Linked DNA regions of Neodiprion lecontei. The protein of the gene in region 2 purifies or fractionates together with the protein of the main gene of each other region. This does not show direct contact. Links are inferred from orthologs where the notes say so. Each region holds a gene or a part of one and is shown on either strand. Other genes may lie near its edges.

Evidence for each region.
Region 1: the proteins of intraflagellar transport protein 81 homolog (region 2) and intraflagellar transport protein 88 homolog fractionate together in Homo sapiens (co-fractionation; 3 studies listed by BioGRID and IntAct, with this or other methods). This does not show direct contact. The link is inferred for Neodiprion lecontei from reciprocal best matches to the Homo sapiens genes IFT81 and IFT88.
Region 3: the proteins of intraflagellar transport protein 81 homolog (region 2) and intraflagellar transport protein 74 homolog purify together in Homo sapiens (affinity purification with mass spectrometry; 3 studies listed by BioGRID and IntAct, counting the BioPlex papers as one, with this or other methods). This does not show direct contact. The link is inferred for Neodiprion lecontei from reciprocal best matches to the Homo sapiens genes IFT81 and IFT74.

The regions. Positions count from the first base shown.
Region 1 is NC_060260.1:5,204,978-5,211,825, forward strand, and holds the start of intraflagellar transport protein 88 homolog, read right to left. Parts: upstream 3,684-6,848; 5' UTR 3,646-3,683; exon of another isoform or gene 3,182-3,645; coding exon of another isoform or gene 2,622-3,181; intron 2,091-2,621; coding exon of another isoform or gene 1,895-2,090; intron 1,772-1,894; exon of another isoform or gene 1,688-1,771; intron 1,389-1,687; exon of another isoform or gene 859-1,388; 5' UTR 755-858; coding exon 620-754; intron 510-619; coding exon 459-509; intron 302-458; coding exon 129-301; intron 24-128; coding exon 1-23. Other genes in the region: uncharacterized protein LOC124295468, read left to right, coding at 1,895-2,090, 2,622-3,181; eukaryotic translation initiation factor 1A, X-chromosomal, read left to right, coding at 4,895-4,910, 5,173-5,256, 5,499-5,735, 6,012-6,112, 6,337-6,342. UniProt on the Homo sapiens protein: Positively regulates primary cilium biogenesis. Also involved in autophagy since it is required for trafficking of ATG16L and the expansion of the autophagic compartment.
Region 2 is NC_060264.1:23,610,188-23,619,407, reverse strand, and holds intraflagellar transport protein 81 homolog, read right to left. Parts: upstream 6,381-9,220; 5' UTR 6,289-6,380; coding exon 6,184-6,288; intron 6,106-6,183; coding exon 5,960-6,105; intron 5,739-5,959; coding exon 5,627-5,738; intron 4,894-5,626; coding exon 4,777-4,893; intron 4,684-4,776; coding exon 4,471-4,683; intron 4,400-4,470; coding exon 4,121-4,399; intron 3,919-4,120; coding exon 3,604-3,918; intron 3,522-3,603; coding exon 3,368-3,521; intron 2,916-3,367; coding exon 2,767-2,915; intron 2,648-2,766; coding exon 2,567-2,647; intron 2,469-2,566; coding exon 2,305-2,468; intron 2,243-2,304; coding exon 2,146-2,242; 3' UTR 2,076-2,145; coding exon of another isoform or gene 1,983-2,075; 3' UTR 1,888-1,982; coding exon of another isoform or gene 1,659-1,887; 3' UTR 1,547-1,658; downstream 1-1,546. Other genes in the region: uncharacterized protein LOC107222349, read left to right, coding at 1,184-1,352, 1,442-1,532, 1,659-1,887, 1,983-2,075; probable tRNA (guanine(26)-N(2))-dimethyltransferase, read right to left, coding at 6,649-6,838, 6,979-7,169, 7,248-7,406, 7,493-7,660, 7,750-8,043, 8,134-8,356, 8,470-8,657, 8,728-8,812 and 1 more. UniProt on the Homo sapiens protein: Component of the intraflagellar transport (IFT) complex B: together with IFT74, forms a tubulin-binding module that specifically mediates transport of tubulin within the cilium. Binds tubulin via its CH (calponin-homology)-like region.
Region 3 is NC_060260.1:40,247,312-40,253,922, reverse strand, and holds intraflagellar transport protein 74 homolog, read right to left. Parts: upstream 4,078-6,611; 5' UTR 3,999-4,077; coding exon 3,580-3,998; intron 3,495-3,579; coding exon 1,964-3,494; 3' UTR 1,920-1,963; coding exon of another isoform or gene 1,753-1,919; 3' UTR 1,701-1,752; downstream 1-1,700. Other genes in the region: leucine-rich PPR motif-containing protein, mitochondrial, read left to right, coding at 1-1,390, 1,516-1,669, 1,753-1,919; SLIT-ROBO Rho GTPase-activating protein 1, read left to right, coding at 5,077-5,155. UniProt on the Homo sapiens protein: Component of the intraflagellar transport (IFT) complex B: together with IFT81, forms a tubulin-binding module that specifically mediates transport of tubulin within the cilium. Binds beta-tubulin via its basic region. Required for ciliogenesis.

The DNA.
Region 1 (6,848 bases), on a different chromosome or scaffold from region 2:
CGATCTTTATCTTTTCTTCAGGTCTAGAAATAATGATGAAGTATTCAAGATGAACAATGCATCCACTTAAAATAACAGAAAAATCTGGCTGAATCAACCCGCTTAATCTTCAAACACAAATCACTTACGTATCCTCTTTACCCGTCTCTAACGGTGGTGCAGGCCCTCTCGAACTACTGTTCATATTCAATGGATCAAAAGGTTGCCTACTACTGCTGGTATAGCCAGCCCCACGCACCGCAGTCATTGGCCTTGGACCTGTGCCTGGCCTGCCGATCATTCCAGTTCCGTTTCTGTGAAACTACACCAGCAATAATTGCAGACTTTTAGCGTTGAGCTTAGTAGTTGACCAAACTGTGCTCTTAATGAGCAGTATAACAAATATTTGTCAGATATGTTTCATATGGGCTATATCAGAGGATTGTGTATTGATGATAATGCAGTGAAGTATAACTCACTCCGCTCGAAGTTCCAAGACGCATAGCAGTGCCAGGTTTTTTCGGTGTGATCTGAAACGTAATACGACATCACGCGAGATCTAATTCACCCTTCACAATGTATCAGATGCCGTTATTACATTAGAGTATTGCTTAGGTTAAAGACGTGTTTGAAATCTTACAATGGGGCGTTTTGCGTAGCTGGCTTTAATCGCGTCTTGATATAATTCATCCTGGTCCAAATCCTTAGTGCTGAATAACGAAGGATAGTCATTGTATCCAGAATAAATATCATCGTCATGTATGAGCGTCGTCATTGCTGCCCGTTCTTCTTGAACAATCCGATTATCTCTGTTGCGTATTTCACTTGCAAACCGCAGTTACCTCGATTTTGGAGGTTAGGTCGTAGCTCTCTGCAAAACTATTTAATCGCGTTATTAATTCACGTTGATTTACCGCGTAAAACTTCGCAAGATAATCCATCCACCTATCAACCCCGTAAACAAAGTATTTTTAACCGGTTGACGTATTATTATCAAACTTTAAAACAACAATTTTGCCACAGTAAATTTCTAATTCACATTTGACAGCATCACTCGCGTCGCTGGCAACTGGCAACTGGCCGCTGGCGTTTACAATTTGTCACTCGATCAACGCGACATCTAACAATAACAAAGGATTAAATACCACCTCGCTCACATTCAAATTATATTAGACATTCGAAAATTAGAATTAGATTATAATTAAAAAAAAAATCCAGGGAAGTCTTTATAATGGACTAATTACCTGCCCGATTTAATTTCGCCTTTAGGAAACCTACCAAATTTCATTAGTTTTCCTGTATCTATCACCATTCTAGAGATATTATTAAATCACAAGAAGGTCATTTATGCAATGTATTAGGACTTGTTGAATGAATTAAAGAATATACAGATATATATATAAGTTATTTAACTTTATTATTATAAATGATTAAGCATTAATTATCCATTGATTTATAACGTTTAACAGACGTAATTATACATAACGTCCCATTAAAGTCTTCTGTTATTATTGTTGTTGACTGTCAAATTTGTTCTAGTTATAACGTTTTATAAGATCGACATAAAAAAAGAAGATTATTACAAGTGCACGTGATCGATTTTTATTATTATTAATTAAGTGAAAAGCATGTCAACCCAAAAAGTACAGATGATTTACTAATGATTCATTGTTCATCTTTGAGAAAAATTGTCAACATTAGCTCTTACCATCGCTCTGTTGGAAACGTGTTATTATTTGCAGAATGTGGTATATGTTTTGTGCTTAGAATGCGAGCGAGGTGGTATTTAATCCTTGTTATGTTCGATGTCGTGTTTACCACAGGACAGATCTCTTCCTTCTTCTTACCAGGCCATCAGAGGCAGTCAACTATCTCGGTAGTCAGTCATTATTTCTGATCATGAGCAACAGAGAATATGGCAGGTCTTAGAACACACTATAAGAAAAAAGCGGCTGGATTCGGCAATTTAGAAGAGTCGAGAATTATAAAATCTTTTGAAAAAGAAAATGCAAGAAAACTAAGGCGTTTGGACGCATATAATGTTAATAGAAAAATCATCGGAGCAGGTTCTCCGGTTACATCCAGCATCGGGCGCATGGAAAACGTACAAGGTAATAGTCTAGTACATTTTTCTATTCGGTAACATTTTCTCTTTCGTTAGCTAACTCGTCATTGTTCCTAAAATATCAACCGTTATCACTGTTTATTACCGTTTTATTACCATTGTCTCGCTTGAATTAATAACTATTGATCTCTCGCAGCTACCCTTTTAGTTCAACCATGTAAAGGAAACAAATAGCATAATACTACAAGCATAGCGGGACCTTTTTTACGAACAGTCAGCTGACAGAAATATTATACAGAAATAAAAGCATTACATTTGATACAAGTACTCAACTTAGCCCACCGTCACCACTAATGTCCATGGTATAATTCTGAGTACAACTCGGTATAATCATGGGCAGAGGTAGAAAATTTAGACCTAGGGGTTTGCACTGTTTTTTCATTTTTCAGAATATCACTTAGTTTGATGTACTTACGATTTTGTATTGAAATTTTCTTATCAAAAAATAATTTTATCTTGAAATCCTACTAACACATTGGCAAGATTTTACCATCAATGGAATAAAAAATTTTCACAGATGGACCTAAAAATCAAATCGTCCAAGAAGATAGACGAATGAAATTGTTGAGATGGAGGGTAAAAAGAGATTTGCAAAAAAAAATTCAAAAAGCAATGAAACCACCAGTATTGTGTGTTGGAGTTTGTCACGATAAACTAAATTCCTCTATGTTCCTACACCAAAGTCTGTCAGCATTTAAACCTATCAAGTCAACGATGTCACCCAGAATCACTAGAGCCACTGCAAAAAGGCTGGCATCGGAAGCTTGTATGAAGGCACGTTCACCTGATGCTACTATTATTTTAAGGAATAAAAAAATAATCACAAAAGTTTTGGACCAAGGGATCGTACACAAAGCTTCAAAAAGTATTGAAATAATAAATATTCCAGGCAGTTCATTTGCACCAGAAAATTATGCGTTTAGACCGCCGGCCTGTTTACCGTCCCTGCATTTGCTTGATCAGGCAGCATTGAAACAGCCGAAAAAAGATCTTTACACGACGGTTACTCCTAAATTCTGCTCTCCTTGTATTCTCTATGCTCGAAAGAAAAAAGCTTTAAGACAAAAACTGCTGTAGCAACCCAACACTAAGACTGATACTGTGCTAATGCAATCTGAACGTGATGAATTACTAACTGCTGCAGCGTTTGAAAAAAATGAAGAGCGAACACCACTATATTTTAGAAAAGTCACAGACGGAGAAGTTATGAGACTAAAAGCTCTCTGTTGGGATTGGATGATGATAACATCTGCACCTGATACCCCAGAAGATGCTCAATGTATGATAAATCACGTAATTGGTCGATCAAATCTGTTGATCAACAAAGAGGTAAAACTATTTCGAAAACTCGTAACCAAATGTGAAACTGGTTCGCAAGAAGAATTGGTAACCAATGACGACTTGCAATGTTTCTGGGACATCATTTACATGCAACTCGAAGACTGTCACTCTAGGTTTGGCAAATTGAATCAATTAAAAGAAAGAAATTGGCAAGAGGCTGAATAAAAAAAAATGAAAGAGAAAATATGTTAAATACTTACTGCGTTATTTTTATTTTTTATTATTTATCGCATGAATTTATTTTTTATACTATCGCAAGAATTATTTATTGCATGAATTTATTTTTTATAATAATGACAAGAGTAAGCATCCACATTTTGATTTACAATTATACTGTTTGGCTAATCGATCAAACTGTGAAAATGTAATTAAATTCCTTAAGTTTATTTGAATTTCAATGCCTTACTAATTTATCTCATTTATACTCTGTTCATTATCATCACAACACAAAATTTCTTTGCAAAAGTTTTATATTATAAGCAAGTCGATTTAAATTCTAAGACTTTTCTGTAAAAAAGTATTCATCAATAAATCGTGTCATATTAAACATGTTGCGTTGTACGCCATTAGGCCTCACTATACAACCAATGCGTTGCATGATAATAATACAAAAACATCAGTATTATATTTTTGTAAGTGAACGTTACAAGACGGTCCACGATCATATATAATTTCTTTATAAAAATCACGTTCCACTCCTGAATTCAATTCCGTTCCCGGAAATGCATTTTTTTTTTTTTATATATATATTTATTCGAAAATCATGTTCGAGCAAGTAATACAAGTTTGACTGTAATTATGAGCAATCAGAAAGCAATATTTTGGCATTAAAATTTTCAAGAAATTCGAAGGTCGGACGCCAACTTCACATAGGTATCAACATAACCGCAAGGAGACGCCACGCATCCCGAAAGAAATACCATTGGACAAAATGGCATGAATGTGACAGAGAGACCCAACTCGCATGATTTTACCGTAGCCTATTTCCGTGACTAAAAGCGAAGAAAGTAAATAAATATGGAATAAATCATACGATAATAATGAGAGTAATTGCGGTAGTCAATATTTTCACATATCTTTTAATTTTATACCAATAAAAAAAAATACTGACGAAAGAATAAAAACTTGAATGAATTTCGAATTTCCCTCTCCTGCATGAACCAAGTCAAATGACAAAATGATAAACAAATTTTCGATTATGTTTTGAAGACATACGAAGCGGGGAAAACAATTAAATTCATATTTAGCAAATTATCGTATGATTGGTATTCGAGAAGTTTATTCGGCAATAAAAGGTTGCTATTTTGGACGATATTCATAGCTGATTTGAGCATAGAGTAGTCCTCTTTCTTCTGCGGGTTTGGCATGGTGATGCAGTGCTCTTTTCATTTTCATTAAAGTTGAACATACTTGTTTATTCATCATCTAATTGGAGTTAATAACTAAAATATGCCGAAGAATAAAGGTAAGTCAGAGTATTAGCAAGTTTTTAAAAATCATTTGAAGTCGAAGAACCCATAAATTAACCTTCCATCAAAATCGAATGACTGGCACGATTTATCGAACAATGTGGTTAAGTTTGGTATATAACCTGCCAGTGTCATTCTGGCGTTAAAAATAGTCGATGCACCTTGATAAAAAAAAAAATGCATAATTTTTTCTCCTCTAATGTCGTCATCGACAATGACGCTCGTGATGAGTGATATATTCCGTGTTTGTGTTATTAGGAAAGGGAGGTAAAAACAGGAGAAGAGGTAAGAACGAGAATGAAACTGAAAAGAGAGAGCTGGTATTCAAGGAAGATGGCCAAGGTAAGTAAAAACACGCACGTTCATGATATGCCTTATGACACAGGCCTATTTACTTTTGCAAGCAAGCTAATCTATCCGATATATTATTATTCTTCAACTTATGTTTCGACATTTTACAAGACAAATTGATCGGTGACTCAAAGAAATGTTATGAACTTTGCACAATATTTTTTTTCATGAGCAAAATAGTATTGAACGAAAAATAATGGAATAAAAAATACTGACGTATTTTTTTTTTACAGAATACGCGCAAGTAACCAAGATGCTTGGTAACGGAAGACTTGAGGCGATGTGCTTTGACGGGGTTAAAAGACTTTGTCACATCAGAGGGAAACTTCGTAAAAAAGTTTGGATCAATCAAGGTGACATTATTTTGATCGGCCTTCGTGATTACCAAGATGCCAAAGCTGACGTTATTCTCAAATATACATCTGACGAAGCTCGTAATCTCAAAACTTATGGAGAATTTCCAGAAACAGGTAGGATTTGGAGTGGTCGTTATTTGTAAATAGATTATTTTCATCGAGATTAAAGTAAAGGGTGGTAGGAGATGTAAAATATTGCGGAACTTGCGAAGACTTTTAATTTTGATTCAATTTATGAAGTAAGAATTGCATTTAGCCACATCTTTAATTATCTAATTATCATAAGTTTCCGTTCGGTGTTCTCAAAATCTGTTTAAATTTCATTTTATCTTGAACGGAGAAATGATTGAGTTTGATTTAGTGCCTAATAAACGTGTTTTATTTTTACAGTTCGCATCAACGATACTGTTACATTTGTCGAGGATGGGTTCGACGAAGATATTGAGTTTGGTGATGAAATTAGCGACGACGATGAGGACGACGTCGATAACGTAAGTCGAACAATCTTATTTCACACAGAAAATGATTGAAAGTTTATTTTCAACGTATCAAGATTGCCCAACTATTATTTGGTGCTACTAAAATTGCATTCTATCAAAATGGTTCAATCTTTCATATCACATGACTTGAGACAGGACTTGTTATGTCAAAAGTACACTTCAGAAAATTTGAATTGTTAATGAAAATGTGTGGGTAAAATTTTTCTATTGAACAGATCTGATGACCCGAAAAATAATCAACGGTGGTGAGGGAATGGAGATTAGGAGAAGAATTGAGTGGTGAAAATTGCATCACATGGAGCACAATCAAGGCGTTCTGCTTGCTTCCAATCAATACATAATTGATCAATTGTATCTTCAAATAAACAATTGTAACCACTGATTAATGCAGTCATCGTATCGTCATATCTGTAATACGCAACCCTTGTATATGTAAATTTAATGTAGACCGAAATAGCATAATATGTTACTCGTAATATTATACTATGCACATTATATGCCTATATATATATATATATTGCTATTTCAACAGTCGCAAATTGACCGCATAAACAAAAATTATTAGATCAAATTATTTCTAAATAAAACTTGTGTCATTAACTCTACGTTAAAATCTGTCTGCAAAAAATTCCCTCGAGAAAATACACATTGCAAGTTTTTAATAAACACATAGATTTCATCGGAAAGAGAATTATGATCTACGAAGAAGTCCACTGCCAATATTTAT
Region 2 (9,220 bases):
AGGTTATGTCGTACAAAACTGTCTATGAAAACAAACCATCAATGGGAGCTTTCCAGCAACGACACAGAGCGACACTGTGTCGAACATGGTGCTTTCCAACAACGACACAGAACGACAAAGTCGGATACAGATGCGGAGCATGGTTGGACACTGTGTCGGATTCATTGCTGCCAATTTTTTAGTTAGAGATTTTATTTTCGACGCATGGTATTATTTATATTTATTTATTAAATGCAATGATAATCTACACGCGTTTCACAAATTTTTTTTTCCTGGAGCGCTCAATGATCCTAGATTTCTCGTATAATGCATGAGCGGACTCTAGTGACTGAATTAAGAACCTCAAAGCGTTCCAACAAGCACCAAGGCACAGTGTTCGACCGTCTAACACAGTGTCACACTGTGTCTCCTTGCTGGAAAGCTCCCAATAACATCAACAAAACATTCCACTATGGAATATAATTGTGATGACGTGAATGAACTTGTAATTCATTACGTGAGAAACCGCCCGGAATTATGGGATAGAGTATTCCTTTCTTTTAGGTTATGTATCTATCGTTTGTATACATTTTTACGACGCATCTTCGATTTCCGTACGTGGCGTGGCGCTAAAGTCTGCCGCGTGCATGGAGTCGCCTTCCGGATGCGTTTGCCGGAGGTGAACATGGAGTCTTAGCTTTAGAGCTTGTACTGTATATGCTCTGTACGGCCCGAATGCGCAGTGCACGCTCTATTTTTATAATCCAGATAGTATACAGATCAGTGTATACACCGTATACACGTTTTTGCATGTTTACATACCACGGCAATGGTTGTTTGTAAATACAAGTGCGCTACGAATAACGAATTTCTAGAAAGCCGAAGTTAGGCCACTTCTGTTGGTTTTCTGTATCTTGCGTGAATATAAACTGCTATAAGTTGTATTCCAGCGAATCAGGCAAACGGTACATTTTGCGGGTATCTTCTACCTGAGGCCAAAGACTATGGAATCTAAGGCTAACAAACCGTAGAAAATAAGGTTAGCGATCAACTATTGTCAGTATTTGCAATTACATGCATTACACCGTATAATAATTAAAAAAAAAGCACAAGGTGTTGTAATAAAAACACGTGATCTGATCAAGCTAATTCGAAAAATGAACGTTCAACAGTTGTCGTTGGATGAAAAAAACACCTAAAGAAAATGGAATTGGCAGGCTTTAGGGAGTGCGAGGATGTTCTTGGATTTACTAATCAGACTGCAGTCCTGCTGAGTGGAATGGGAGCTAAAGAACTTGTACCGCAATTTAGGGAGAGAAATATATCGACTGAAATGTTAGCTAATTTAACCCACGATGACCTTGTGCTACTCGGTACTCGATATCTTTACCTTTTTCAATATTGTGCTAATGTTCTATTTATTTGGATCACAGCTTATGTGATGCTTAAATTTTTGTCACAGGTGCAAGCCATGAACTTGCTCATCGTATGCTCAAGCAGTTGTCTCCAATATTGAGGCGTACCAGTTTAACGGTGTTAACACCGCAACAAAAGTAGGTTTATGAAGTAAAAGTATATAAAGTCGGTATTCATTTGAAACATGTATGCATAGGAATGAATATGTATGATAAATGGCGTTCGAACAAGTTTTGTACAGATATAATTTTCGATTTTTCCAGGTTAGACCAGCTATTAGAATCTCTGGAAAATAATGGTAAACATTTATCACTCATCAACGCGTTTGTTACGTATACCAGATTGCGTCTTAACAAGGAAAAAATGGATTCTTTCATAGAAATAAACGGTAATCTGCGCAGTAGCCAAGCTTTGGAATTGGCAGTTGCAGCAACTATTTCTGAGATCGAAGAAGCTCGATCGGCTCTGCAAGAACTGAAATTGTCTCTAGAGGTACGGAACTCCACTTTTGATTTGACTCTACCGGCAATGTACAACTCTTACCGCACTTAAGCGTATAACAAACTGATGAATATTTTTTTTTGCAGGACGGAGGCACCTCAAGGAGCACCACTTTTTATTTTGCTACGGTCAGCGGGTTGGGACTGTTGACTTGGATGTTGTTTAAAACTCGTTTCTAAGTTTTGTACCTACTTGAAACTATCCATTTCTACTTTTGTCATAAAACTATAGCACAAACAAATAGTTGCATTACTGTAAAATCAAGGTCTCTGCTCCTTGTCCACGTACAACGACCCCGTCTCTGCGTTTGATTTCCTCGGCGGACTGCCATTTGCACTCGTAAATCCTGAAAGAGTCCCAGTTGTTATAAGCACTCCATTCTGCATGATATTCCAAGTATATACCTACAATATCAAGTTGCCCCACAGACGAATCTGCGTCTCACAATTAGTCAATTGATCCTTCAGCGATTTTTCTTCATTCTTAAAAAAATTAAGCTTTTTTTCCTCTGCTTGAATTGCTTCGTTGAGCTCATCCCTTAGTGTTGATCCACTGCTGGGGCTCGCGTAGCGCTGTAAATGATGCATCGATTGGAAGGCAAGTCAAGTATGATTATAGTTGTTTGATACAGAAGTGCGAAGAGACCAAAGCAAATCAACATATTACACACCCTCATCTCCTGCTGAATTTTGTCTTTAGCAATTTTCAGTTTTGATATGTTGATGCGCAATTGCTTGATTTCTTCCATCTCCTGCATATAAAGGGATAAATTTACCTTTGAATACCAAAGTAGTTTGGATACCTATGCTAGGGATGTGGCGAGTATTTTATTCTCTGATGCATGCATAGTGTATGCATTATCAAACCTGCCTTATCATTATTATCTCGGAGAGAATTCAATTCAGATGATAATGCGACTGTAGAGCTCTCCAAGCTCGTTTCTACAGAGCCATGGCTAATTTTAGCTCTTTCGTGTTGCTCGTCTACTTCCTGTGCCTTCTGTCTTAGTGGTCTCAGGTCTGTAATTAAATATTGCCGAGGTTTCACATTTTCAACTAACTTTCTGTACATGCATACATGCCCCATAGTGAATGCTATAAAAACAGAGTTGCGAAAGACCGGGAAAATCTCGAATAGTCAAGGAATTTCGTCTTTTGGGAAGTCCGAGAATTATGATGAACGACAGGGAAAATCATTGTACTTTTTTGATAAACTGTTTTCAAATTTCAGCCATGTCTCGTAAATTCAGCTAAGCTAGCTGTCGGAAATAGTATTGTTCAATTTTTAATTATTTGTGTATTTTTAAATGCAAATTTATATATCGAAGTTGCACAATTTCTGGAGCTTTAAGTCATAAAAGTTGCCCAACATTAAAGGAAATTCTAAATTTTTTGTCATGAACAGTCAGAGAATTTTAATTGAGGAAATTTGGGATCTCCCTGAAGAACTATAATAATTTAATAGTAATTACCGTTCAGCAGCGAGACTAGTTGAGCCCTGAATGCAGAGATATTCCGCGCCAGTTCTGCATTGGCTGAGATCACGTTTTCTGCCGTGAATCCATTGGGTAAAGTTTTCGCAGGTCCCATTTGCACGGGGCTGATACTGACCCGGACGCGGCTGAGCTAAGTTGTAAAGAGTGATGTCACAGAAGCCAGTATCACCAGCATAGATGAAAACGAGTTTTAAAAAAAAAGGAACAATTACTTGCGCCTCCAATATACGCAGGGTTCGATTTAGGACTCCTCCCTCTGCTCGAAGGCCAGCAAGCTCCGCTCTGTGTTGCTTGTATAAGGTGCTCCTGGCCCTGAGGTGCGTCACGTAACGCTTCAGTTCGTCGCCTCTCGGCGCTGGCTCTTCAGCGAGCTGTCTTGCTTCCTCTCTTCGCTCGGCTAACCGAGCATTCATTTCCTCTAGAGTCTCTTCAGATCTCTTCAGCTTGTCCAGCACAGTTCGCTTCATTCCAACAACTGCCGCTGCCTGCTGCCTGAATGGTGCCACTTTGTCTGTACCTCCAGTAGCCTGCGATAATCGTAAAGCGCCCAGTGCAGTATTATGTTTCCAATAACCATAAAAATGCGGTATAGATGTGACTACCAAGAAAACGAAATTCGATTTGAAATATCACCAATTCAATTGTTACTGTATCTCGTTAACACAATGAAAATCTTCATTAAATTTGACATGTATAATACTGTAACTCTGATCAATATCCTTTAGTCACCTTGTTTTCAGCTAGAGTTTGTACTTCGCGAGCAGTTACATCCAGTTTATTCCGCAACGCAATAATATCATCTGGTCCCAGGTGCACTGAGCGAGCGACGAACCTTAAGGCATCGACGTGAGACTTTTTTGCTGCTATTTCGGCAGGTAGTCGATCTCTTGACATGGCTGTTTGCACGGTAACTTTTTCCGACAAACGTTGAATCAGTTTTTGGGGTGTAAGACTTGCTCCAGCTTCCTTCAAATTGTGCAGCTCGCGTTCCATCCGTTGCAATGATACCTGGGTGGGGGAGGTTTCAAGAATAAATCGAATTATAGACATCACAAGAAGCAATGTTCGTGTCGTTTCACCTGCAACATAGCTGTAGATTCTTGTTGTTGGCGTTTTTGCAACGCCAGCTCACGTTCCCTATCTCTTTCAATTCGAAGTTTCCGAGCAGCTTCAAGCAATTGGGGTGCACTCTCAGCCCTTAGTTTCATTTTTTCCACTCTTCCCAGAATCACTTCGCGCTCTTTTTGCATCGCTTCCAGGTCATTCTTCAGTTCTGCCGCAGCCTCACCACCCTGAAGAAAATGATGGGTGAATACCTACATTATTCATCATGCCAAGAGGGGGAAAATTGTAATGTCTAGTTGAATGTTGTTAAAATATTCTACCTTCTTTCCCGCTTCTCGCTCTTTGTGAATCACTTTGAATTCGTCGACCAATCTCACGTACTGATCGTACAGTCCTGTCAATTCAGGATCACCTGAATACTCTGTGGGCACTTCTACCTGTGTAATTTGGGAATCAGCCAAACATAACATTTCATCACTATTCATCTAGTAGCTCAATATTTACCTAAAGGAATTTTATCTTGTCTAAGAAATCTAGTGATATTTTTTCCACTTTCGCATACGGATTAAAACACTTTTAGTTAACAGCAGAATTTTGACATTTTTGAAGTGAAAACTTCTTTAGCGCCATTGGTGAAAACTTCTTCAGCACAGGAGTGATGTGAAACTCAATGAAACGACGATCGATGTAACGGAAATATTGATGAAACAGAAATGCAAAACTTAACTTAATTAGCGTGGTAGTGATTTGAAACTCGATGAAACTCGATGAAACGACTATCGATGTAACGAAATGAAACGACTATCGATGAAACGAATAGTTATTCCACTCCTGATACTGCATTCTCCTCATTCTCTCGCAGTTTAGTTTCTAAAAGTTTCACTTCTACCACATATGAGCTGCACACGTTTTTTTAAAAAAAAAAAAAGATATATGTGACACTTTTTTAAATTTTATTGGATAATCACGTGTTTAGTAAGTTATAGGTAAGCTAGTGCAATTTTCCAGTTGCGTAAAAGGAGTTGACTCTTTCTAGATATACCGTTAAATGATGTAACTATATGGAATTCTGTGGTGTATATTAGTTAGCCAAATGTATGTATTTCGTGTAAAGCCATATTGCCAAAAACTATTATTCTTATATGACCTAAACTTTTTATTTATCGTCACCTTCACCAAAAAGCGGGCCAGATATGCTCTTTGTCGTGAGATATCCATGTTGGACAGAAGCCATTTTAGAACGGCATGTATCGTTGAGGACTCTCCCTTCACCAGTCCGTGCCTGAGGATATTCGCAAATATGCAACTGTTTGTTATATGTTCTCACAAGTTAGCAGCGTCTAGGGAAATAATGAATTTGATCATTTTCAACTAGCTTGAAGGGGTAGACAGCCCTTGAAAGTCGAAAAAAGGGGACAGGGCGTTAGCAAAATACTAGCAAACATTGATATAGAAAAGTCAGTCTCTACATTCATCCTCAATCACCATCAATATCGCATTTACCTGAATAACGCTGGGTCACCTTGAGGTTGATACTTCAAGACTCTCAGGGCGGAAAAGATGCGTACAGAGTTTTGTTCCGGGGTTTCCATTCTAACATCGTGCGGGGGACCATCTTGTTGTATTTCGGACAAAACATCGCTGAGAACCTATAAAAATTGTTAGGGTCAGATAATGTTTGCTTTCATTATTCAAATTGTGCATGCTTAATAATAACACAAACTCACTTGTAATAGATCATCAGAACGCAATGCATCGAAGGTGATCAAATTGTAGTTTCGATCTAAAACTTTATTGAGCTCTGCTATGATAAATTTGATATCTTTGCTCATCCTTGAAACAATTGGAATAAGCCTAGTATTAGAAGAATAACAAGCTCACTGCACACACGACGTCACATCACCCTAGAAACAGCTGTAAATGTAATTAACACGAATCAATATTTTTTCACAGTTGTGCCACTTCGTTGTCAAGGCGACAGTTGCTGGGCAGGTGTTTTAAACTCTGATCGCTTTGATGTATAAAAGTTATTTGAAAGCAGAAATGAGCCAAGCTGGATACTTTTCAACGACTAGTATTCAACTAGAAAAGAGGTAGTGCTATCAATATAATGAAATCACTTGTTCTTCATTATAAACTTTAATGTCCATTCAGAGTTATATTAACACATATGTACAAGTTTGTAAAACTAATCAGTCTCTTTTCAACTGTTTCTGTGGTGACGGTTTCGTTTGATCGTCTTCTGGAACTACGTCGCCTTTTTCTGGTGAATCGAAAGATTTCATGATGCCAGATTCGTCAGAGGAAGCTGAGCGTTGTTTCCTTTTGAAATGTTTATTTTGGTTCTTCTTCTTTTTCAATATCGAATCTTTTGTCTGCACCCTGAAAGCGGATACACGTATTTTGTCAATACCCGCATCAATTTTAGGTGGAGACCAAAGTTTAAACTTAGTTCACAGCTTTGAGAGACCTACATAGGTATACGAACGGTGAAGAGTGTCAAGTAATTGCAAATTACATACATCATTGTCGACTTTGTACCGGGGCCCCAGTATGCGGTTGGGTTCTTTTGAAACCTGGATAATTTCTTTTGCCTCGATGCCGGATTAGCAAGGGGATGCGGTTGAAAAGATATTTCATGTGAAGATGAGGTGTTAAGAATAGCCAGCGCAGCGCTATCCGATTCAAACCTTTCCTTTTTGGCCGGATGCAACTAGAACACAAATAAAACATAATGAGATATAATAATACAGCCAGTTAACAAATAATTAACTATTTAATATAACGCCACCTTTTCCCATGCTCGAACTATGTCCCATATAACACTGTTTGGGGCATCGGTTTTAACCGATGTTTTATGTGCATGTGAAATTGACACTTTATAACCGGCGTTTATCAGCGCAGAACTAAATGTCACCATGGGGGGTACCTCGCACTTTACTATAGACATCTGAAAAAGAGACAATCAATAGATGATTGATTAAAACTCTTGGAATTCCGCACATAAATACACTCAAATGCTGTGTGTCTTCTTACTAATCGATCAAGTAAGTAGTAGAGCGGTACGTCTAGTTCTTCGTAAATCACATTTAAGACGCCTTGAAGCCTTTTCTTGGTTCCAAATTCACCTGTATCCACTTTGGACAGAAGTTGCGAAACAAACTGGCGATCATGTAAAGGACCAAGCCAAATTGGCCCACCGATCTGTAAGAGTAAGGTTACTGCTTCACATTCCTTGGCAAAATTATCGTTATATCGCTACAACACTGTGATACGGATTTTTGCTTGCTTACATGGTGTTTGTGACCACAATAGTGACAAAGCTTATCAACTGGCGGTCCTGCTGGCAGGCCGTACTTGTTGTCAGACTTTGTCATGCTGAGCGGTTGCGTAGTAATACTCTCGCACCCGACGCATTGATAAATCATTCCCAATTTACTCGCTACTCCCTTGCAAACAATTTGCCCTGTGTAGACCCTCACAAATACCCTGATATAAAAATCTACACTAATCGATATCAATGGCTGTATGTACCGGCCGTAACGTCCTGCATGAGATGAGATATGCTGCAAAAGTATCCTCAGGGCCTGAAAATTTTACTTTCTTTACCAGGTCAAGGCCGCGTTCGTGTGTTCCATAGCAATTCAACAACGTCGCAAGACATTCATGACTCTCACCATTTCATGACAGGCTTTTGACTTCAAGGAAATAGCGCCATATTTAACATGACACGTTTCTGGTGAGTTCCCAGCAAGAACCGCCATATCGGTAGCTGTAATCAAAAGTAAGCCCCCCTCGGAAATGCATTGTACAGCACCGTCCAGAAAAACCGAAGGTGAACCGTAAGGGTCCACATCTACAGCATCGAATCGATCGCTCCTGTGCCGGTACATAACCATACTGTGAAAGAGAATTCAAAGATTTAAGCATTTGCGATTACACGTTGCTAGGAAAAATTAATACGAGGTCAAGATAATATTCTTTAATAGAAGGAATAAAAATTAATCACGCACGTTGCATCTTCGTGACTGGTCGTTACAAGGTCCCCCACACCATTATGGAGTACATTTTTCTTTATGCTCTCTACCGCGGCGGCGGAAATGTCATTGGCAGTAATTTGATGAACGAACGGAACCTCTTTGGCATATCTGATACTGCGTAACCCTGTAGCAGACAGAGCTTCCAAGATCGTAATGCCTTCCTGTAGATGGGATAATTGAACACACAAAAATAAAGAAATCAATTACATCAAAATGGTAATCCCAACTCACCGAACACCTTTGAGCAACCTTCTTGCTAGGTTCAATTTTTTGATAAGCCTTTCTTTCTTCAGTGAAAATTGACAATACGGCGACACTGGAAGAAAAATGAATTGTCACTGAGACATGAACAATAGAAACCCTTAATATTTATTTAAGCAATGCATCAATAGTACAAATTTTGGAGTGACACTAGGGTCACCTTGACGCTTAAACAAGTTGCTTAAACACTTAAACTCAGACAGTTAGACAGAGTGATGTTGGTTTGCATAGGTGGAACAAATCAGCATCACTGATAGAAAAAATTGAGAGAACTCTTATTTAAGAGGTCAAGTTGATCCTTCTAACGCTAATATGGCATTGCCTTAAGGCATAGCGACGAACGATTACCTGAGGTCTCTGTTGAACTCTTGAACCGGATTGTAGAAGACTTTTTTCTCATTCGCCAATATCTCGGCCATTCCTTCCCTGACGACGATGGACTCCTCGGCGCCCCGAGTCTCCG
Region 3 (6,611 bases), on a different chromosome or scaffold from region 2:
AACCAAAGGTGAGACTGATGTGCTCAAGCTGGTTAAGCACATGGTTGAGAATGGCGTTTACTTAGATGATGAGACATTGTGTCATTACGTATTTCCGTTTTTATGCGCACCAAAGCCCCTGGTGATTATTAGAAAATTGCAAGATTGTGGTTTGAAAATGTCCGATCTATTCGGAGTCTTGTTGACAAATTATTTAGACCAAGGAAACCTGAAGGATGCCATAGCTCTAACAGAAAAAATCAAGGTAAAACTTGATCTGTACATTGTCATAGAAAGACTTGTCAGTGGATGTAGAGTGACAGAAAGTTTTAATGAAACAGTACAATTTTTGAGAAACATCAACACGGATAGTGATCAGAATGGAAAATTCTTTGAGGACCTAATGGCAAATGAAAGAATAAAAGCAAGCAATGAGGAACTTGCTTCTCTTATTTTTGCCTTTGACAAACACAATCTCAAGATTTCTAAAACAGTTGCAGACGCTTTGGAGCTAAGAATATTGCAATTAGCGGAACCTGAGAGGTCAATGAAGACGCTCAAAAAATTAGTCACTGCTGAAACAAGTACAAATGATGAAATTCCGGATGTATGGATACCTCACCCTGAATTAATGAGTCTTGAACAACTGGAGAATCATCTCATTGACCTAACGGCTAAGGGTATGAATACACGAGGTACTCTGCGAAGACTCCTTCAAGCTTATTGTAGAAAAAATAATTTTAAGAAAGCTGAGGAAACTGCAGAATTGTTTAAGGAGAAGGGATTTGAATGGACGTCCGGAATGATTTCCAGCATGTTTTCCTTATATGTCACAAATAATATGATCGATAAGGCTGATGTATATTTCAGAGATCTGAAGACAAATCACAAAGACTTTATAATCGATGATTACAAGGTAATTGATTATGCTACAGCTCTTGTAAAGAATAAAAAATTCGAAAAAGGTCTGGAAGTACTCAGAGAACAGGAAAATGTTACGAGTGGACCCAAAACTATCAGAAACTGCTGGAGACTTTTGAATGCAGTTGCTGCAGATGGAAATCTGGAAGCCACAAAAAAAACGTTGGATATCTTACTCGAAAAAGGGTATTGCGAAGTGAGCATTCATGTCCTCAGTCCATTGGTCAGGACAAATTTATTAAATGGTAACTTGGAAGAAGCTATTAAACAATTCAAAGAGTGTGCACTTGTGTATAAACTGACACCTCTGAAACAAGAACTGCTACGTGCTCTTGTAGATATTTCTACCGACAACCCTGATGCTCAAAAACAGTTGACAGATGTACTAATGGTGATAAAAAGTATTTCTGGAGAAGCAGCAGGAAACTCTCATTTGTTCACGGCATTAGCGGCAAGGAATAAACACAAGGAACTCCAATCATTTATTAAAGTAAGACTAATCTGAATTTTAAAAAAAAATTGTGACCTTCTAATCGCTGTTGCTATAACACGAATCATTTCTCGTAGTAATTCAATTACCTTTCTTGTACTAAAATAACTCGATTTATTTTTTAGATGCCAGCTGTGAACCAAAAAACAATGGAAGTCAGTGCAAAAAACTTGATGACTGAGCAAAATTTAACAGCCTTACAAGGGATTTTGAAAGCGTGTAGAAATGTGATGAAGCTGGACACACGGATTATTTACGATCTAATCTTGACATTGTGCAGTAAGTAAATTGAGAAATAATTCAAGACAGATTTTTCGATCACAATTTATGACTTTAATCTTTATTTTATTGTGGTCATACAGGTAGGTCTGGTGATTACAAAACAGCGCTAGAAATATGGGATAGAATGCAGGCAGAGGACATTATTCCACTACCAAAATTTACTGAAAATTTAATAAACTTCTTGAACTCGCAGAAAGTTTCATTACCAGACGAATTACAAGCAAAGATGAAAAGAGAGAAACGCTAACAATATTTGAAATTATCTTAAATAGTAAAAATATTGTACATAAACTAATGTATTCCTTTGACGCTTTCCCTTAGTTTAACATTGTACCGATCCACCAGTTCGAGTGCTCTGCTCTTAATTGCGTTATAATCCACTCGTTCGCGTTCTTCCCTGATGAATTTCTGTAATGTTTCATTATTTTGTTTCAATTTCTCAAGTTTATCCTCCAGCGAGCTTATCTGTACATAAGTTTCATTTTTGTCTAGCTGTGACTTGATCTCCTCGTACTCTCCACGTACAGAAGCCAGTTCCTGTTTGATGGACGGCTCGCGCTCACGAAGTTTTGCCCGTTCTGCGATCATCTCTTCTCGCTTTTGTTCAAACCTTGCCTTCAATCCATCCAAATCTTCAAGGACAAGCAACTCACTTTGTTTTTTACCTATTTTTTCTTTCAGTTCCGTTAACTCGACTTTCAGCCTTTTTTCGAGACTCTGCATTTTTATTAAATTCTGCTGCAGCCTTGTGTGCTCGCTGCTCAATCCTTCGATAGTTTGGTCGACATTAATAGGAACGTCCGGGTCTTCGCTGATGGCATGTTGGATGTTCAGGATTGCCAACTCATCACCAGGAGTTAAGTGAGTATCGCTAGAGACACAGTTTGATATTTGTGTCAAATGCTCGACAATTGTAGTCTCTAGTTTATCAAGTCTCTCAAGCTCTTCATGTTTGCTCCTGTCAAAGGTGGCCATGAATTGCTCCATTGCCTCTTCTCGTTTTCTCATCTCTTTGTACTTTACATGCCTTGCTGACTGGCACTCTTCGAGATCTGTTTCCAACTGTTCTAGCTCATGCTCAGCCTCAGCTATACGTCGTTTAAGTTCAGCTGTTTGCCTCTCAGCTGCAGCGACATCTGCATTATCCTGCTTTACCTTGGCCAGGAGTTGAATTCGCTCTTCTTCTGGCGACAGTCTATTCTTCTCTTCTTCTCGTAGTTTATCGCGTTTTCCTTCAACCTCTGAAATCTTAACAAGAAGTTTGACAGCCTCCTGCTTAGCCTGTGAAAGTGCAATCTGCTCTTCCATGGTCGATTTTTCGTTAGATAGTCGATCCAGCTCTGTTTGCATAACATCTATGCTACTCTGCAGTTCAATTTTTTGTTTTGTCAAATCGTCGTACTTAGCACGCTGCTCAATAGTCATTCCTTCGACTATTCTCTCTGCATTCTTCTTTTCCAATTCTACTTCCCTCTCGATGGCCCGAAGCTCTTGTTCTTTTTGCTGACGATGAGCAAACAAATTTTCTATCTCAGCCATAGTTTGGTCATTTTTCACGGCCAAAGATTTAGCCTCCATTTCCAGAGAGTTTTTGTCAGGGTCTAAAGTCATTTTATCAACAACAATGTTATAGTCGGCCAGTTGCCCCTGCAATTCTGTAAGCTCCGCTGCCAATTCTTTGGCTCGTTTATCGTAGTGAAGAAAAGTTGCTCTTTCTCTACTCTGACTGTCGACTTGCCGCGTTATGACTGCAATTTCTTGTGTAAGTTCTCGTATCTTCAATTGTAGGAGACCTTCGTAATATCTTCGATCCTGGACTTGTCTGCAACATTTAAAGCAACGATCTAAAGTATATCACGATATTCGCTGTGTTCTTAATAACTTATTATACCGTCAAAAATCCTTGCCTGGTCATGGGCAGTCCCCTGTTAGTCCCAGGCCGAAGTCCGGCGATTCCTTGCTGCGTAATCGGTCTGTCGACTAGATTGACCTGAGCTGCAGATGGAAGGCCAGTTCCAAGTCTTCCTTGGACAGCAAAAGATCCACCGCTGGTAGCGCTGACCCGGGAGCTAGCGGAGTTAAGTACTCTAGCAGAGAATGCCGAAGCAGAAGGTGGTCGGCCTACGACGCTTCTACCAGGAGTTGCAGCAGTTGCTGCGCGATAATTACTCGATACAGGCATTTCCTGGCTGTCCATTTTGGCCCCTCTCCTCGAAGAAGGTCTCTCGATTCTACTCTGCGGCCTGGAAACGTCTTCCTGCTCTCTTCTCCAACGCGTCAGTGGTCTCTCAGCACCTCTACCAGTTGTAGGTCTATCAAGGTCCATGATTAGCAATTCAGTAAAATTGATTCTTAAGAAGGATGAGATTTGCAGGTGTAGAACTTGACAATTGCCTGGTAGTCATATGCTCACCAGGTATGAACGAATTCTTATTTGTGTACAAATTAGCGTTGCCATGTAAACCCCGCAACAACGTCATGATGTAAAAGTGCGAAGTTTCCACCCTTTCAAATGTGCACCAAATTATCTCAAATGCGATTGGTTGAAAATCCAAGATGGCCGTCATATGTTCTGGGGAAACGGTATTTCATTGGAACACAACCTCCCCTTCCACGTCATGTCATAACTCCGCTAGCAGCTTGTCGACAGTGTTCTTTGTTATCGGCAAAATGGTACCACCTTGGTTTCCCTGGCACCCAACAGGTGGCCGGGTAGCATTAGTCCACGGAGAAAGGTGGTGCACGCGTTTCGAGCAGTCGACTCTGCGTAGTCAACAGTTGCTAAGCAACAAAGCGACGCGGCGGTTCCCCTAAGTTGAATTAATACATTATATCCGAGTCCAGGAATATCCTCGAAGTGGCTACCTACGACGGCTGCACTATTACCAGTAACGACAGTATACCTACGAACGTCGGTCGCATGGCCGTCAGTGGTGCCACTTTCCATTCGACTTTTCCCTCAACGGCGACCGGAACAGAACTTTAAAAACAATTGACCAACGCGTTGCTGCGCGGCGTAACTGTAAGACAAGTGCCTCGTATGCACGTTTGCATGTGTTTGTTATGTGTTGATTGTGTGTTGTGCGTGGACGCGGTACCGAGCGCGCAGTTTGCATACGGTAGAAATAGAGTTAAAGAAAATTCCAACGGTTGCCAGCAAGCAGTGCGTATATAATTTCGAATCTCTACCTGGTTTCTTAAACCGGTTTTGTCAACCGATGAACCTTACTGATCGCCTGTGCCAAAGAATGCTTTCAAATCTGTGACAAGTGGATTGTTTATATCTTCATATTTTTTGTTTACGTATTTCACGTATGTGTACGGATATTGCCAGAGGTTTGCTCACGTAACATCGACGAGCTGAAGTCGGAAGTTTTCGAAGATTTCACGATCACTTGGTTATTATGGACGAGGAGGAGATCGACGGTATCAAATCGCCGATCAAACGGCTTGGATCGACAAGGAAGCTACTCGTTTTTAACAGTAAGTGATAAAATATCACACAGCGCTGAAACAACATCGTAGCCGAAAGGACAACGAAATATGCATTCAACGTCTTTCCGCTGTCATTTGGCTCCGGTGATGTTTTGTCCGTCGGGAAATTTTATGTGTGCCTGATTGTGCGAGTCAACCACAAATTTACGCTGCACAAACGTAATTTTGCATAATTTTTAATTACTATTTATATTCGTATAAATGACATTGCAAACCTGTCCATGTTTATACGATCGTGAGTTGAGAAAGAAAACTCAACATATTCCCAAGAATACGTAGCAATAAAGAAACCGTTTATTTACATTGGTATTGTCTGACGTATTGTCACGTTGTAGCGATTCGCATACCTCACGTATGACTGTAATTACGTAAACATTTGCAATGAAAACTTTTTGTCGTTGTACAGAATTCTCGCCTCTTCTGTTTTCTTCTCATATAGGTATAACAGGTCTATATTTTTACTGACGATCAGCTAAATATCGCCATTGTCAAGAACAACGCCGATCGAATAAACTGACAAATGAAATGTAACGAAATTCGAATTTTTCGGGCGCAGCTTTTTTTCATACGTAGATAAAACGAGTCCGAAATTAATGTTTCGAAAGCATGTAGGCACATTGATATCTCACACTTGAAGATAGATAGGTGTACACATACATGCATTTAATAATTGCATTATCATCACACATTCAGTTACTCCACAACTCCTTGTACGTAATTTTAATAATATATACAGCATGTATCAAACTACAAGTAATTTACACACCGCATAACTTATACATACAACGTGGCATATGTTTATACCCTGGTTTATACTTTCGCTCTGGACTTGCGACACGCAAGATTAACAAGCCGCAGCAGTTGCACACTAACCGCGTCAGCCAATGCAGCAGCAACAATTACCTTTGAAATGCACTTTTATTATTGACCAATTAATCAGGGATAGCTTCTGATTCGAGAAAGACTGCAAAAGAGCTATACAGTCCAAAGATATACCGAAAGAATCGGAAAGGATACTAATATAGGATGAAAAAATTGGAAAAACCTTGTTGAGTCAATTTCCGTTATAGGTTGCTGGTAAAGCTTAGGCTGTCTTCCAAGTGTCTCAAACGGAAAAGATTTCCCATTGTACACCTGCACGGGTGTGCAGTGGTAGATGTACATGCCTATTGTCCAGACTTATATATATATATGACCCTAGGATAGGTAGGTATATACATAATAGGTTTGATGGCGTCGGGGACACGCAGCGGATTGTCGAATGACGCGCCGGAAAGAGCAGATGCTGCGCGGGATTTTTCCCCTCCTCATCATCCTCCTCGATTTCAAATGAAAGGCAAACGGGCTACATCTACAATCTACATACCACGTATTGCAACAAAGAGATGAGAGGTTCGCGTTAACGTTACTTTGGTTCAGATAAACAAAGCGCCTAAGTTCGGTT